2 linked regions of the Arabidopsis thaliana genome follow. The protein of the gene in region 1 interacts with the protein of each later gene in a pairwise test. Each region holds a gene or a part of one and is shown in the gene's direction. Other genes may lie near its edges.

The links. The genes of interacting proteins can lie anywhere in the genome.
Region 2: the proteins of ERF7 (region 1) and SNL3 interact in a two-hybrid assay, tested with the Arabidopsis thaliana proteins (one study listed by BioGRID).

What each region holds. Positions count from the first base shown.
Region 1 is NC_003074.8:7,084,202-7,088,802, reverse strand, and holds ERF7 (ethylene response factor 7), read left to right. Parts: upstream 1-1,908; 5' UTR 1,909-2,111; coding exon 2,112-2,846; 3' UTR 2,847-4,076; downstream 4,077-4,601. Other genes in the region: ABCI15 (trigalactosyldiacylglycerol2), read left to right, coding at 1-85, 223-338, 865-955, 1,054-1,146.
Region 2 is NC_003070.9:8,564,516-8,572,341, reverse strand, and holds the start of SNL3 (SIN3-like 3), read left to right. Parts: upstream 1-1,805; 5' UTR 1,806-1,963; intron 1,964-2,393; 5' UTR 2,394-2,414; coding exon 2,415-2,554; intron 2,555-2,640; coding exon 2,641-2,827; intron 2,828-2,913; coding exon 2,914-3,012; intron 3,013-3,088; coding exon 3,089-3,223; intron 3,224-3,312; coding exon 3,313-3,607; intron 3,608-3,704; coding exon 3,705-3,835; intron 3,836-3,913; coding exon 3,914-3,989; intron 3,990-4,077; coding exon 4,078-4,107; coding exon of another isoform or gene 4,108-4,132; intron 4,133-4,277; coding exon 4,278-4,492; intron 4,493-4,585; coding exon 4,586-4,740; intron 4,741-4,877; coding exon 4,878-5,005; intron 5,006-5,117; coding exon 5,118-5,372; intron 5,373-5,448; coding exon 5,449-6,093; intron 6,094-6,187; coding exon 6,188-6,273; intron 6,274-6,514; coding exon 6,515-7,126; intron 7,127-7,228; coding exon 7,229-7,329; intron 7,330-7,417; coding exon 7,418-7,556; intron 7,557-7,647; coding exon 7,648-7,800; and 1 more. Other genes in the region: AT1G24200 (Paired amphipathic helix (PAH2) superfamily protein), read left to right, coding at 1-104, 202-379, 465-563, 643-711, 1,065-1,169. UniProt on the Arabidopsis thaliana protein: Acts as a transcriptional repressor. Interacts with ERF7 to repress genes in abscisic acid and drought stress responses. The heterodimer represses transcription by tethering SNL3 to DNA.

The sequences.
Region 1 (4,601 bases):
TGAGGCCATTGGTGTTGCCAATACGTATTCGCTTGCTGAGAGAGCTGCTTCGGTTATTGAGGAAGCAAGGCCATTGCTCAAAAAGGTGATATGAGTAATTTTGGTGGTCTTTGTTTAGATCTTGTTTACAGTATTCAAAAAGAATCGATAGGTGAATTTCAAGATTGGAAAAAAATGTATTCTCCTGCTTATGCGTTGGGTTTTGATGTAGTGATGTCACAGATTCAAGCCATGGCTGAAGATGCTCAACCTTTGCTCTCTGAGTTTCGTGATAGCGGCTTGCTCAAGGAAGTTGAGTGTCTTACTCGAAGCCTTACCCAAGCTTCTGACGATTTGAGGTAATAGCTCTTAGTGGAACAATCTTGGCATATCGACTGTATATCATTATGAATATTTTGAATTCCATAGTGCAAATGCAAAACTCTTTCTGCATCATGATGAAAGCAGACCTTACGATAGATATAAGCACACTAGCTTCAATTTCTCGTATGTGGCTTCAACACTCTATTTGTGGATTAAGTTTCTGAACAAGAGATGATGGTTAAAAAGTTAAAACACATACATATCTATGCATAAATGTGTCTTATCTTATGGGTTCCATGTTAAATTAACTGCTTTGCTCATCAGTGCTTTTCAATCTTTCCTCTATTGTCTTAAAATTTCAATAATTTATCTTGTGTTGCCTCTACTTATCTTCTGCTAGCCTACTGTTTCTGTCACTTAATGTATGTTCCTGGACCACATATATGCAAAAGCTCGTTTACTTACATACGTATGATCAACTGAGTGATAACTGTGATTATGAGAACCTATATTCTTGCAGTAGACAGCAAAAATATAATTTTCATTTTGGTTACATTGCAGAAAGGTTAATTCGTCAATTATGACTCCTGAGAATACAGAACTCATACAGAAGTCAATCTACACTCTGGTTTATACTTTGAAGAACGTCGAGGTAAACTTTTTTTTCTTCTTATTCTATCAATACCAGCTTTGACAAGTTGGAAGAAACAATGTTAACAAAGACTTGGTTTTTGATTTTCTTGATTGTAGAGTATAAGCTCAGATATTCTGGGATTCACAGGAGATGAAGCCACAAGAAAAAACCTTAAACTACTCATCAAATCCCTAAGCAGGCTACTATGATCAGCCTGTAGATTTTAGACTGGATAAATAAAATCCAGAATTTTATGGTAAGCAAGTTTTAAAAATTCGAAAAATGTGTTGTTTCTTCTTTAGAGTTATTTTTGTTTTCGTTTTGTGTTCTGAGATTGGGGTTTAATGGAGAGACATAATTCAGTTTTTATAAGAACAAAAATGTTTGTTTCTCCACATTAATGCGTATCCTCAACACGGCATTTACTTTTAACACGGGAGACGACGACGATGCCGATAAGCGCGTCTCGTCTCTTGTAGGGTCCCAAAGGAAGGAGAAGAAACTAATAATAATTTCGAAGAGGGGTGTATTATTAAATAAAATAAAATAAAATCTGGAGGGTGTTTTTGGTCATTACAAGTGGACTATTTGGTCTCTAGGTGCATCAATTTGATAACAAACAAACAGTAAGACATAAGATTTTATTATATAGATTGTGGTCAGGGTCAGGACAGAGAGTGCAAGTGCTTACCCTCTTTTACTTTCTTCGCATTTCGAGACATCTCTTGTGAACTCTTTTTTAATTTTTTGTTTTTTTTTCTCCACACAATATATCGAATAAAAAGTTTAAAGCAAAAGAAAAAAAGAATCCAAGTTAGGAAAAATGTTACTCCATAATTAAATTTTTAAAGAAACGAATTGGTCGGTCTTGTGGGTCGGGCGTGAAGGTAGAGAAAAAATCGAAATTAACAACCAAAAAAAAAAAGAAAAGAAAAAGCTATTCCAACCATAAATTATTATTTTAATTAATTTATTAAATGAAAATTCTTTGAGTAAATTATTTAGAAAAAAAAAAAGAGAATTATAATAATAATTTCCAATCTCTACCCTTTGTTCCTTCATCTTCTTCCTCATCTTTCTTCTCTCTTCAACATTTTCTTCTCTTCTTCACACAAACACACACAGATCTCTTCTTCATCACATTACTTCTGGCTTTACATCTTTTTTCTTCTCCATGAGGAAAGGGAGAGGCTCTTCCGTCGTTGGACCCGCCCTTCCAGTAACCGCCGGTGGATCTGTGAAGGAGCCGAGGTATAGAGGCGTTAGGAAGAGACCTTGGGGTCGATTCGCAGCTGAGATCCGTGATCCATTAAAAAAATCTCGTGTCTGGCTCGGTACTTTCGATTCCGCCGTAGATGCTGCACGCGCTTACGATACCGCCGCACGTAACCTCCGTGGTCCAAAGGCCAAGACCAATTTCCCGATCGATTGTTCTCCTTCTTCTCCTCTCCAACCTCTCACCTACCTCCACAATCAAAACCTCTGTTCTCCTCCGGTGATTCAGAACCAGATCGATCCGTTTATGGACCATCGGTTATACGGCGGAGGTAATTTCCAGGAGCAGCAGCAGCAGCAGATTATTAGTCGGCCGGCGAGTAGCAGCATGAGCAGCACCGTTAAATCTTGTAGCGGACCGAGACCGATGGAAGCCGCGGCGGCGTCTTCGTCGGTGGCGAAACCGTTACATGCGATTAAGAGATATCCGAGAACTCCACCGGTAGCTCCGGAGGATTGTCATAGCGACTGCGATTCTTCGTCGTCTGTTATTGACGACGGAGATGATATCGCATCTTCGTCTTCCCGCCGGAAAACGCCGTTTCAGTTTGATCTTAATTTCCCGCCGTTGGATGGCGTTGACTTATTCGCTGGCGGGATAGATGATCTCCACTGTACCGATCTACGTCTCTGATTTGCTGCTTTACAAAAAAAATCCGTTGATTACACACAAAAAAAATTCTCAAATTTTACAAAATGATAACTTTATGCTCTTTTGTTTTTCCATTTTCCTTTGATATCATATTGAAAGAGAAAAAAAGGAAGAACAAAAAAAAAAGATTGAGCGTGATGATTTTATCATCAACGAAGATGATGACGATTAAAAAGAGAGAGAGATTGTGTTAAGATCTGTTACTGTAAGAACCAGATCTGGGTTTCATTTTTATCTGTTTCTTCTTATAAAAGATCCAACAACCCTTTGTTACATATATATAACATTCTGAAGCTGGTGATGATTTCTGAATGATTCAAATCCATTATCTTTAGATTTCTACTTATTCATAGAGTGTCCCCTGATGTAAGTAGGAAGCTGCATTTACATAGTATGTAACAGAACCACACAGGGCACAAGTATTTGTTTGTGTTTTGTCTCTTGGCTTGATCTTGATCAATTCAGGGTTTCTTCTATTCAACAAGTAAAGCTTAGTGGTTCTCTGAGATGGAAGCAATAAAAAGATGAAAGGAAGAAAGACGGTGAAGCTCCTTTGCTATCTAATTGGGTGATTCGAAGAGGAAGTTAGAATACTCATTGTCATTGTTAAGCCTCAAGTTTTCATTCATCAGCGAGGAGACAAGAAAGGCTTTCCCTTTTGTGTACCCAATGAATATTTTGGATGGTGAAGAACATAGAGATTAAGGGCATGGTCAATGGGCGGTGAGTGGTTTTGTTGTGATCGATAAAGCTCAATGAGCACAGGCCAAATCTTTAGGTTAAAGTTTGGTGGCTGAGATGATTGTTTTGATCTTTAAGAGCTGTGGGTTGAGGTGGCAGAATTCGTTGTGTGTTTGACCTTTTTGATTTGAATTTGCTGGTAGAGAGTTTTCCCAATTTTGGTATCTACTTTGCTTCTATGCCACGGATTCAGACAGTGAATCTTTGTGTCTGAAGCAAAAACCGAGTATTTTTTTACCGTTTTGGGGTAGGCTTCTTCTTAACTTAAAGTGGAAGTCAAAAGCAATGTCTTGTTATTTTCACTGTAACGATTTAAGACAACTGATCTCAAGTCGCTTTTCCTGTTTCGGTTCGTACTCTTAATAATCTTCTATTATTCTGGAGTTGAGATTAATCCACAATGTTACTTTTTACTTTTACAACCTTTCGAGAATTCGGTTGTTCGGCTTTGAAATGATAGTTTCTCTCCAAATGATTCTACATTGCTATTAAATGAGAACAACTTGGTCTAATCTTTAGTTATTGAAGATAATTCTAGAATTAAGGAGAAAATTAATATAAAAAACTGTTGAGACAAATGGATTCATTAACAAGACAATGGATAATGAATGGCTTGGACATTACACTTGAACTAAGGAGAAAAAGAAGTGTATGAGCAATTAACAAGGCAAATGGCTAAAGGTTAACTAGACAAATGGAGAAAGGTTAGAGAGTATTATACAAAATAACCTGGCCATCAGCCAATCACTGGTCTAAATAGGAGTGCATTGTTACAATTGTAAAATCATCAGTCTAAGAAGAAAATAATAAGTTCACAAATAGCTAGTCTTGTTTTATTCGCTTCCAAAAGAGTTTGGCTAGCTTGTCGTCGTAGTTGTCTTATTTTCATCTTAATCACACAATATATTAATTGTCGGAAAACGAGACTTTGAAGTTATAATAGACGCCTGGAAAACTCATTTAAATTAATTGATTAGAAGTAGATTACCGGTTTGC
Region 2 (7,826 bases), on another chromosome or scaffold:
AATGACGCGCTTAAATACCTTAGAGCCGTGAAGGCTAAATTTCAAGGTCAACGTGAAAAATATGACGAGTTTCTTCAGATCATGATAGATTATAAAACTCAGAGGTTAAAGTTCTTTCTACTTTTATGTTTGCATTTGGTCTTGGTTTAGGTAAAACTCCATGGTTTCTGAGAACTGATTACCGACTATTGTGTTGTATAGAATTGATATATCTGGTGTTATAATAAGGATGAAAGAACTCTTGAAAGAACAACAAGGATTACTTTTGGGTTTCAATGCCTTCTTACCAAATGGTTATATGATCACACATCATGAACAACCTTCACAGAAGAAACCTGTCGAGTTAGGGGAAGCAATTAGTTTTATTAACAAGATTAAGGTATATATGTTTATGTGTTATAAACTGTCCAAGGAAATTACTGCTTTTCCCTTTCCTACTCTCTTAGTTATTCATTCATTTGCAGACAAGGTTTCAGGGCGATGATCGTGTATACAAATCAGTTTTAGACATTTTAAACATGTACAGAAAGGATAGGAAGCCCATCACCGCGGTCTACCGGGAGGTAGGCTCATTGATTCATACTAAGTTTTTTTTTTTTTATTGCTAATATTTTACTTAGTTTCACACGTTTATCTTATCAGGTTGCCATCCTATTTCTAGATCATAACAATTTGCTTGTGGAGTTTACTCACTTTCTGCCTGCTACTCCAGCTACTCCAGCAACAGCCTTGTTGCATTCACAGTTTTGCATAGATCATCCTGATTTGCTTGAAGAGTTGGATTGCTTTCTGCCAACTATTTCTCAGAGTTTTTTGTGACGAAAGGATTGCTATGTTACTTCAATCGCTTCACATATAAGTAGTTTTTTTTTTTTAAAGTTACAAGTCAGAGATAATAGTAGAGGTTTTTTCTTTTTAATATGCATGATTAATAGCTTTCTTTTCCCTATAAATTATAGCCACTATCAAAATTCAAAATTACCATCATCTATAGTTATTCAATGCTTTTTTTTTTACCTAGTTATTTCAATGCTTACCTATGAGTTTACTATGTGTAACATGAGGATAAGGGTTATCGGAATTATTCTACGAACAAGGTGACAAAGTTTTCGGTCTACCGGAAAGATAGTAATGCCGATAAAAAAAAAATGAATTTAAAAGGCGAATAATATGTTCCGTTTTTATGGTTTTAATCAAGTTAGAGTTAAATTATTCTTCTATTAATGTTAGCCAAATATTATTTTTTAGATTTAAGCAAAATCTAACCGTGTAATGTAATATAGATTCCATTTACATCAATGATTTTAGAACATTTTTTCCCCATTAATAATTTTGATAGGTTTTGCATTAAGTAATTAACTTAGAAATTTTAAGAAAAAACATCTATGTTGACCAAAATAAAGAGAAAAAAAACATCTATTAATAATATGATTAATCATCTAAAACTTTTTAATTACAAAATTATTTCCAAAAAAAATGAATAATTTATTTTATATCAAAAATTTTCAAAATTAAGTATGTCTCTCTCACATACCAAAGGAGATAAAAACTTCCAAAAGAAAAAAAATGTTAAAAATAATAAAAGAAGAAGATAAATTATAAGTCTCCTAAAATGATACAACCAACAAAAGGAAGTAATAAAAACAAGAAAATACAACTTTGATTTTTATTTTATTTTTTGTCAACAGAAAAATGAAATAAGTAAGTAAACGAAAAATTTAGCGAACGAGAAAGTGTATTAAATATGTAGATTTTAATTTACTTAAGAAGACGTAAAACTCCTTTGAGAGAAATCTCAATCCTTTCTTCATAAAAACATAAAACTCTCGTTTGCTCAGTGAGTCTTTTCTTTCTGTCTGAAAATTGTTGAATAGTTTTTGTCTTCTCAGCTGTTTCGTCGGAGGAAGCTTCTTCTTCTAGACTTCTTCTTCTTCTTCTTCTTCGTCTTCTCTGAATTTCTTCGGTAAACTCTCTAACACATAAACGATGATGATCTTCTTTCGTTTTTTATCCTTTCTGTTTGATTTTTGGGTATTACAATTTTAATCGTGAACTGAATGTGAAATAATCTGAGGATTAAGTTAAGATCGATTTTTTCTGGTCCGTCTCCTTTTGTTTTTTCTTCATAAATTGTTTCTGTAGCTGCTAGATCTACAGGTGTTGCTTATTGGGATGAAATTCAAGTTCGGTTCTTTGAATTTTCCTTGTTTATGTGATTGATTTTGAGTTTTACTAGGTTTTGATTTGTAGATGAACATGAAGAAAGTTGTTTTCAGCTTTTGTTCTTTTGCTGAATCCCAAATTTTACTTGAATTCTCTAAAGAAACGTTCTTTGGTCTTATGAGATGTTGAATAGCTTTCTAAATGATCTGTTTTTTTTAATGGTAATGAAGCTCTGTTCAACTTCAAACACCATGGTTGGAGGAGGAAGTGCTCAGAAGCTAACTACAAACGACGCTCTTGCATATCTTAAAGCCGTGAAGGACAAATTTCAGGATCAACGTGGAAAATATGACGAGTTTCTCGAGGTTATGAAGAATTTTAAATCTCAAAGGTATAGTTTTTTTCTTCTCCTTGTTATGTTTAGGTTAAAAACTTGGTATCTGAGAACTGATTGCTTAATTGTGTTTTTCATTGTAGAGTTGATACAGCTGGTGTGATAACTAGGGTAAAAGAACTTTTCAAAGGACACCAAGAGTTGATTTTGGGGTTTAATACTTTCTTGCCTAAGGGTTTTGAGATCACACTTCAACCTGAGGATGGACAACCTCCACTGAAGAAACGTGTTGAGTTTGAGGAAGCTATTAGCTTTGTTAACAAGATTAAGGTATATATATGTTTATGTGCTAAACTGTCTCAAGGAAATTACTGCTTTTCCCTTTCTTACTCTCTTCGATATTCATTGATTTGCAGACAAGGTTTCAGGGAGATGATCGTGTATACAAATCATTTTTAGACATTTTAAACATGTACAGAAGGGATAGCAAGTCCATCACTGAGGTCTACCAGGAGGTAGGCTCATTGATGCTGTTATGTGTATCTTTTTTTTGTTGCTATTCTGTACTTAGGTTTTACATGTCTATCTCAGGTTGCGATCCTATTTCGGGATCATTCAGATCTGCTCGTGGAGTTTACTCACTTTCTACCTGATACTTCAGCAACGGCCTCTATTCCATCTGTTAAAACTTCAGTTCGTGAGAGAGGGGTTTCTCTGGCTGATAAGGTTCTTCTCAGACTTTTATTTTCCTAGAAATACAATGTTCTATATGTCTAATCTTTTATTGAACATCATTTGATTGGAAATTGTTGCAGAAGGACCGGATCATTACTCCACATCCTGACCATGACTATGGTACTGAACATATTGACCAGGACCGGGAGAGACCTATTAAGAAAGAAAATAAAGAACACATGAGAGGTACTAACAAAGAAAATGAGCATAGGGATGCCAGAGATTTCGAACCACATAGCAAAAAAGAGCAATTTCTCAACAAGAAGCAGAAACTACATATTAGAGGCGATGATCCTGCTGAAATTTCCAATCAAAGTAAACTTTCTGGAGCGGTTCCTAGTTCATCTACTTATGATGAAAAAGGTGCCATGAAAAGTGAGTTCTCGTTTTATGACAACTAATTTGAAAGATAAGGAGTGAGTTTGTCGTTCGCTATTCCATGTGTACTTATATTTGTTTGATGTGATGTCAGGTTACAGTCAAGATCTAGCTATTGTCGATAGAGTAAAGGAAAAGCTTAACGCCTCAGAGTACCAGGAGTTTTTACGTTGTCTTAATCTCTTTTCAAAAGAGATAATCAGCCGACCAGAACTGCAATCTTTGGTATGAATAAATAAAATGCTTAAATTTTCACTGTGGCATTTGTTTGCAATGATTCATGAACATTTGTGCTTGTATCAGGTAGGGAATTTAATCGGAGTATATCCTGACCTCATGGATTCCTTTATAGAGTTTTTGGTGCAATGTGAAAAGAATGGTAACGAGGCAAATCTATGTTTCTCTCTTCCTACATTCATTGATTTCAGAAAAAAGACAGATTTGTAACCTTTTGAATCTTCTTGCAGAAGGACTGCTCTCTGGTATTCTGACTAAGAGTAAGTCTACTTATCTTTTGCAAGGGTACATGAATCTGATGCTGAGATATATTTGAAGTATTCACGAGTAGTGAAACTACACAACTCCACTATGAAATTTGATCTTCTTTCCAGATATATCCATTTCTAGTTCTGAAAAGAAAACAAATCCATTCTAAACTATACTGCAGAATCCTTGTGGAGTGAAGGCAAATATCCTCAACCGTCACTGGACAATGATAGAGACCAGGAACATAAGAGAGATGACGGGCTTAGAGATAGAGATCATGAAAAGGAAAGGCTTGAAAAAGCAGCTGCAAATCTGAAATGGGCAAAGCCAATCAGTGAACTAGATCTCTCGAACTGTGAACAATGCACTCCTAGTTATCGGTTACTTCCAAAGAATGTATGTGGCTGCAGCCTTTTATATGTGGATCTACTATTCTTGAGTTCATCTTTTGTTTCATTAGTCTAATGTAAGACATTATACTTTTTGCAGTACCCAATTTCTATTGCAAGCCAGAAGACAGAGATCGGTAAACTGGTTCTTAATGATCACTGGGTCTCCGTCACATCAGGAAGTGAAGATTATTCATTTAGCCACATGCGTAAGAACCAGTATGAAGAGAGCCTCTTCAAATGTGAGGATGACAGGTTGGTTAATCAACTTCTAATGGTGGACTGGAAACCTATATTCCATACTTTAAAAAAAAAAATTGGTTACTGACCTGTTATTGTGAGCCATTTTCTGTGTCAAATTGTGAGCCATTATTCCTCTCTTTATGCTATAGGTTTGAGCTGGACATGCTATTAGAGTCTGTAAATTCAACGACAAAGCATGTGGAAGAATTATTGACAAAAATTAACAGTAATGAACTGAAAACCAACAGTCCCATCCGTGTCGAGGATCACCTCACAGGTAACATAAGCTGGTGTAAAACAATAAGCAGCATGGATGTTAAATCACTAGCAGCTGAGCTCTTTAAATTTTTTTTTTTTTTTAATGGATTGCTTTGTTACTGTCTTTGTAGCTCTAAACTTAAGATGCATAGAACGGTTGTATGGTGATCACGGGCTCGATGTGATGGATGTGCTGAAGAAGAACGTGTCTCTTGCTTTACCTGTTATCCTAACACGTTTGAAACAGAAGCAAGAAGAGTGGGCAAGGTGTCGTTCTGATTTTGACAAAGTCTGGGCTGAGATATATGCTAAGAATTACTACAAGTCGCTTGATCATCGAAGTTTCTACTTCAAACAGCAGGATTCAAAGAAGCTGAGCATGAAAGGTTTGTCCGTAACCTATTACACACATTATTCTATTATATCAAGCAAGTGACTTTATGTACTATATTTTTTCTGTAGCATTGTTGGCAGAGATAAAAGAGATTACTGAAAAGAAGCGAGAGGATGATTCACTTCTTGCATTTGCAGCCGGAAATAGACTATCCATTTCCCCAGATTTGGAGTTTGATTATCCGGATCATGACCTTCATGAAGATCTTTACCAGCTGATCAAATATTCGTGTGCAGAAATGTGCTCTACCGAACAGTTAGATAAGGTAATGAAGATTTGGACAACTTTCGTGGAACAAATATTTGGTGTTCCTTCTCGCCCTCAAGGTGCTGAAGACCAAGAAGACGTTGTCAAGTCCATGAACCAGAATGTAAAGAGCGGTAGTTCAAGTGCTGGCGAGAGTGAGGGAAGTCCTCACAATTACGCTAGTGTTGCCGACTCTAGACGCTCAAAGTCATCTCGAAAAGCTAATGAACATAGTCAGTTGGGGCAAACTAGTAATTCGGAGAGGGATGGCGCCGCTGGTAGGACATCAGATGCCTTATGTGAGACTGCTCAGCATGAGAAAATGCTGAAGAATGTAGTTACGTCTGATGAAAAGCCTGAAAGCAAGCAAGCTGTTTCTATTGAGCGTGCACACGATTCAACTGCTCTCGCTGTGGATGGATTATTAGATCAAAGTAATGGAGGAAGCAGTATAGTACACATGACCGGTAACACCTCAAAATCTTGCTTAGAAGTTAGTTCTCTTGGAATTTTTCATTTTCTTTGTACAGTTAATGAATAGTTTCCTCTTTACTTGGTCAGGACATTGCAATAATAATCTGAAGCCTGTGACCTGTGGAACAGAGTTGGAGTTGAAAATGAATGATGGTAATGGGCCAAAATTAGAGGTATAGTTTCAGTGAAGCACGTTTTAGTCCCATCATCTTATATTTTGATCTGATACTTTCTATATAGATGACTCATTTCAAATGAAGGACCGAATTTTGTTGATATGGAACAATATCTCCCATTGTTTGCACTTGGTGCTTAGGTCCTTCATATGGAACTTAGATAGTTTTAAAATTTGAAGTTACACACCCTTAGTTCTGTGTTAACCAAGAGGTGGTACTGATAAACTTTGTCTCACAGGTTGGTAACAAGAAGTTATTGACAAATGGGATCGCGGTAGAAATAACAAGTGACCAAGAGATGGCAGGAACATCCAAAGTTGAAAGAGAAGAAGGTGAACTTTCTCCAAATGGAGACTTTGAGGAAGATAATTTTGCAGTTTATGCAAAAACTGATTTTGAGACCTTCAGCAAAGCGAATGATAGTACTGGAAATAACATTAGCGGAGATAGAAGTAGAGAAGGGGAACCATCTTGTCTGGAGACAAGGGCTGAGAATGACGCTGAAGGTGACGAAAACGCCGCAAGATCATCAGAGGACAGCAGAAATGAATATGAGAACGGTGATGTTTCTGGAACGGAATCTGGTGGTGGTGAAGATCCGGAGGATGATTTGGATAACAATAACAAAGGAGAAAGCGAAGGTGAGGCTGAATGTATGGCTGATGCACATGATGCTGAAGAAAATGGGTCTGCCTTACCCGTTTCAGCACGATTCTTGCTGCATGTAAAGCCCTTAGTAAAGTATGTTCCTTCAGCTATAGCTTTGCATGACAAGGACAAAGACTCTCTGAAGAACTCCCAAGTTTTCTATGGAAATGATTCGTTTTACGTGCTTTTCAGGCTGCACCGGGTAAGAGCTAAAGATCATATACAGTTTGAAAAAATTATAAACAGTATAATCTAAAGTACAAAGAGTTTTCACTAGCTAACTTTACGCTATTACTCTTGACAGATATTGTATGAGAGAATACTATCAGCAAAAGTTAACTCATCATCCCCGGAAGGAAAGTGGAGGACCTCAAATACCAAAAATCCTACTGATTCCTATGCTAGGTGAAATTTGCTTTTTATTGCAGAGATTGTGTGTGTTTCTGGGATTCATATGTGCTCCATACTTATAACTTTAATTAATGTGGAACAGATTCATGACTGCACTCTACAACTTACTTGATGGTACATCTGATAATGCCAAGTTTGAAGATGACTGCCGAGCGATAATCGGGACTCAGTCTTATATTCTCTTCACATTGGACAAACTGATCCATAAATTCATCAAGCATGTGAGTATTTTTGCTCTTTGATGTTTTCTCTATGTATTCACCTCTCTATCTTTACTTGCTTTTTACTAACATACGTGTGGTCATTCTTCAGCTACAAGTAGTAGTAGCTGATGAGATGGACAACAAGCTTCTTCAGCTTTATTTTTATGAGAAATCCAGAAGGCCTGAAACGATTTTTGATGCTGTGTATTACGATAATACCCGTGTCCTCCTCCCTGATGAGAATATTTACCGTATTGAATGTGTAAGTTTTTGCTGCATCTTACATTA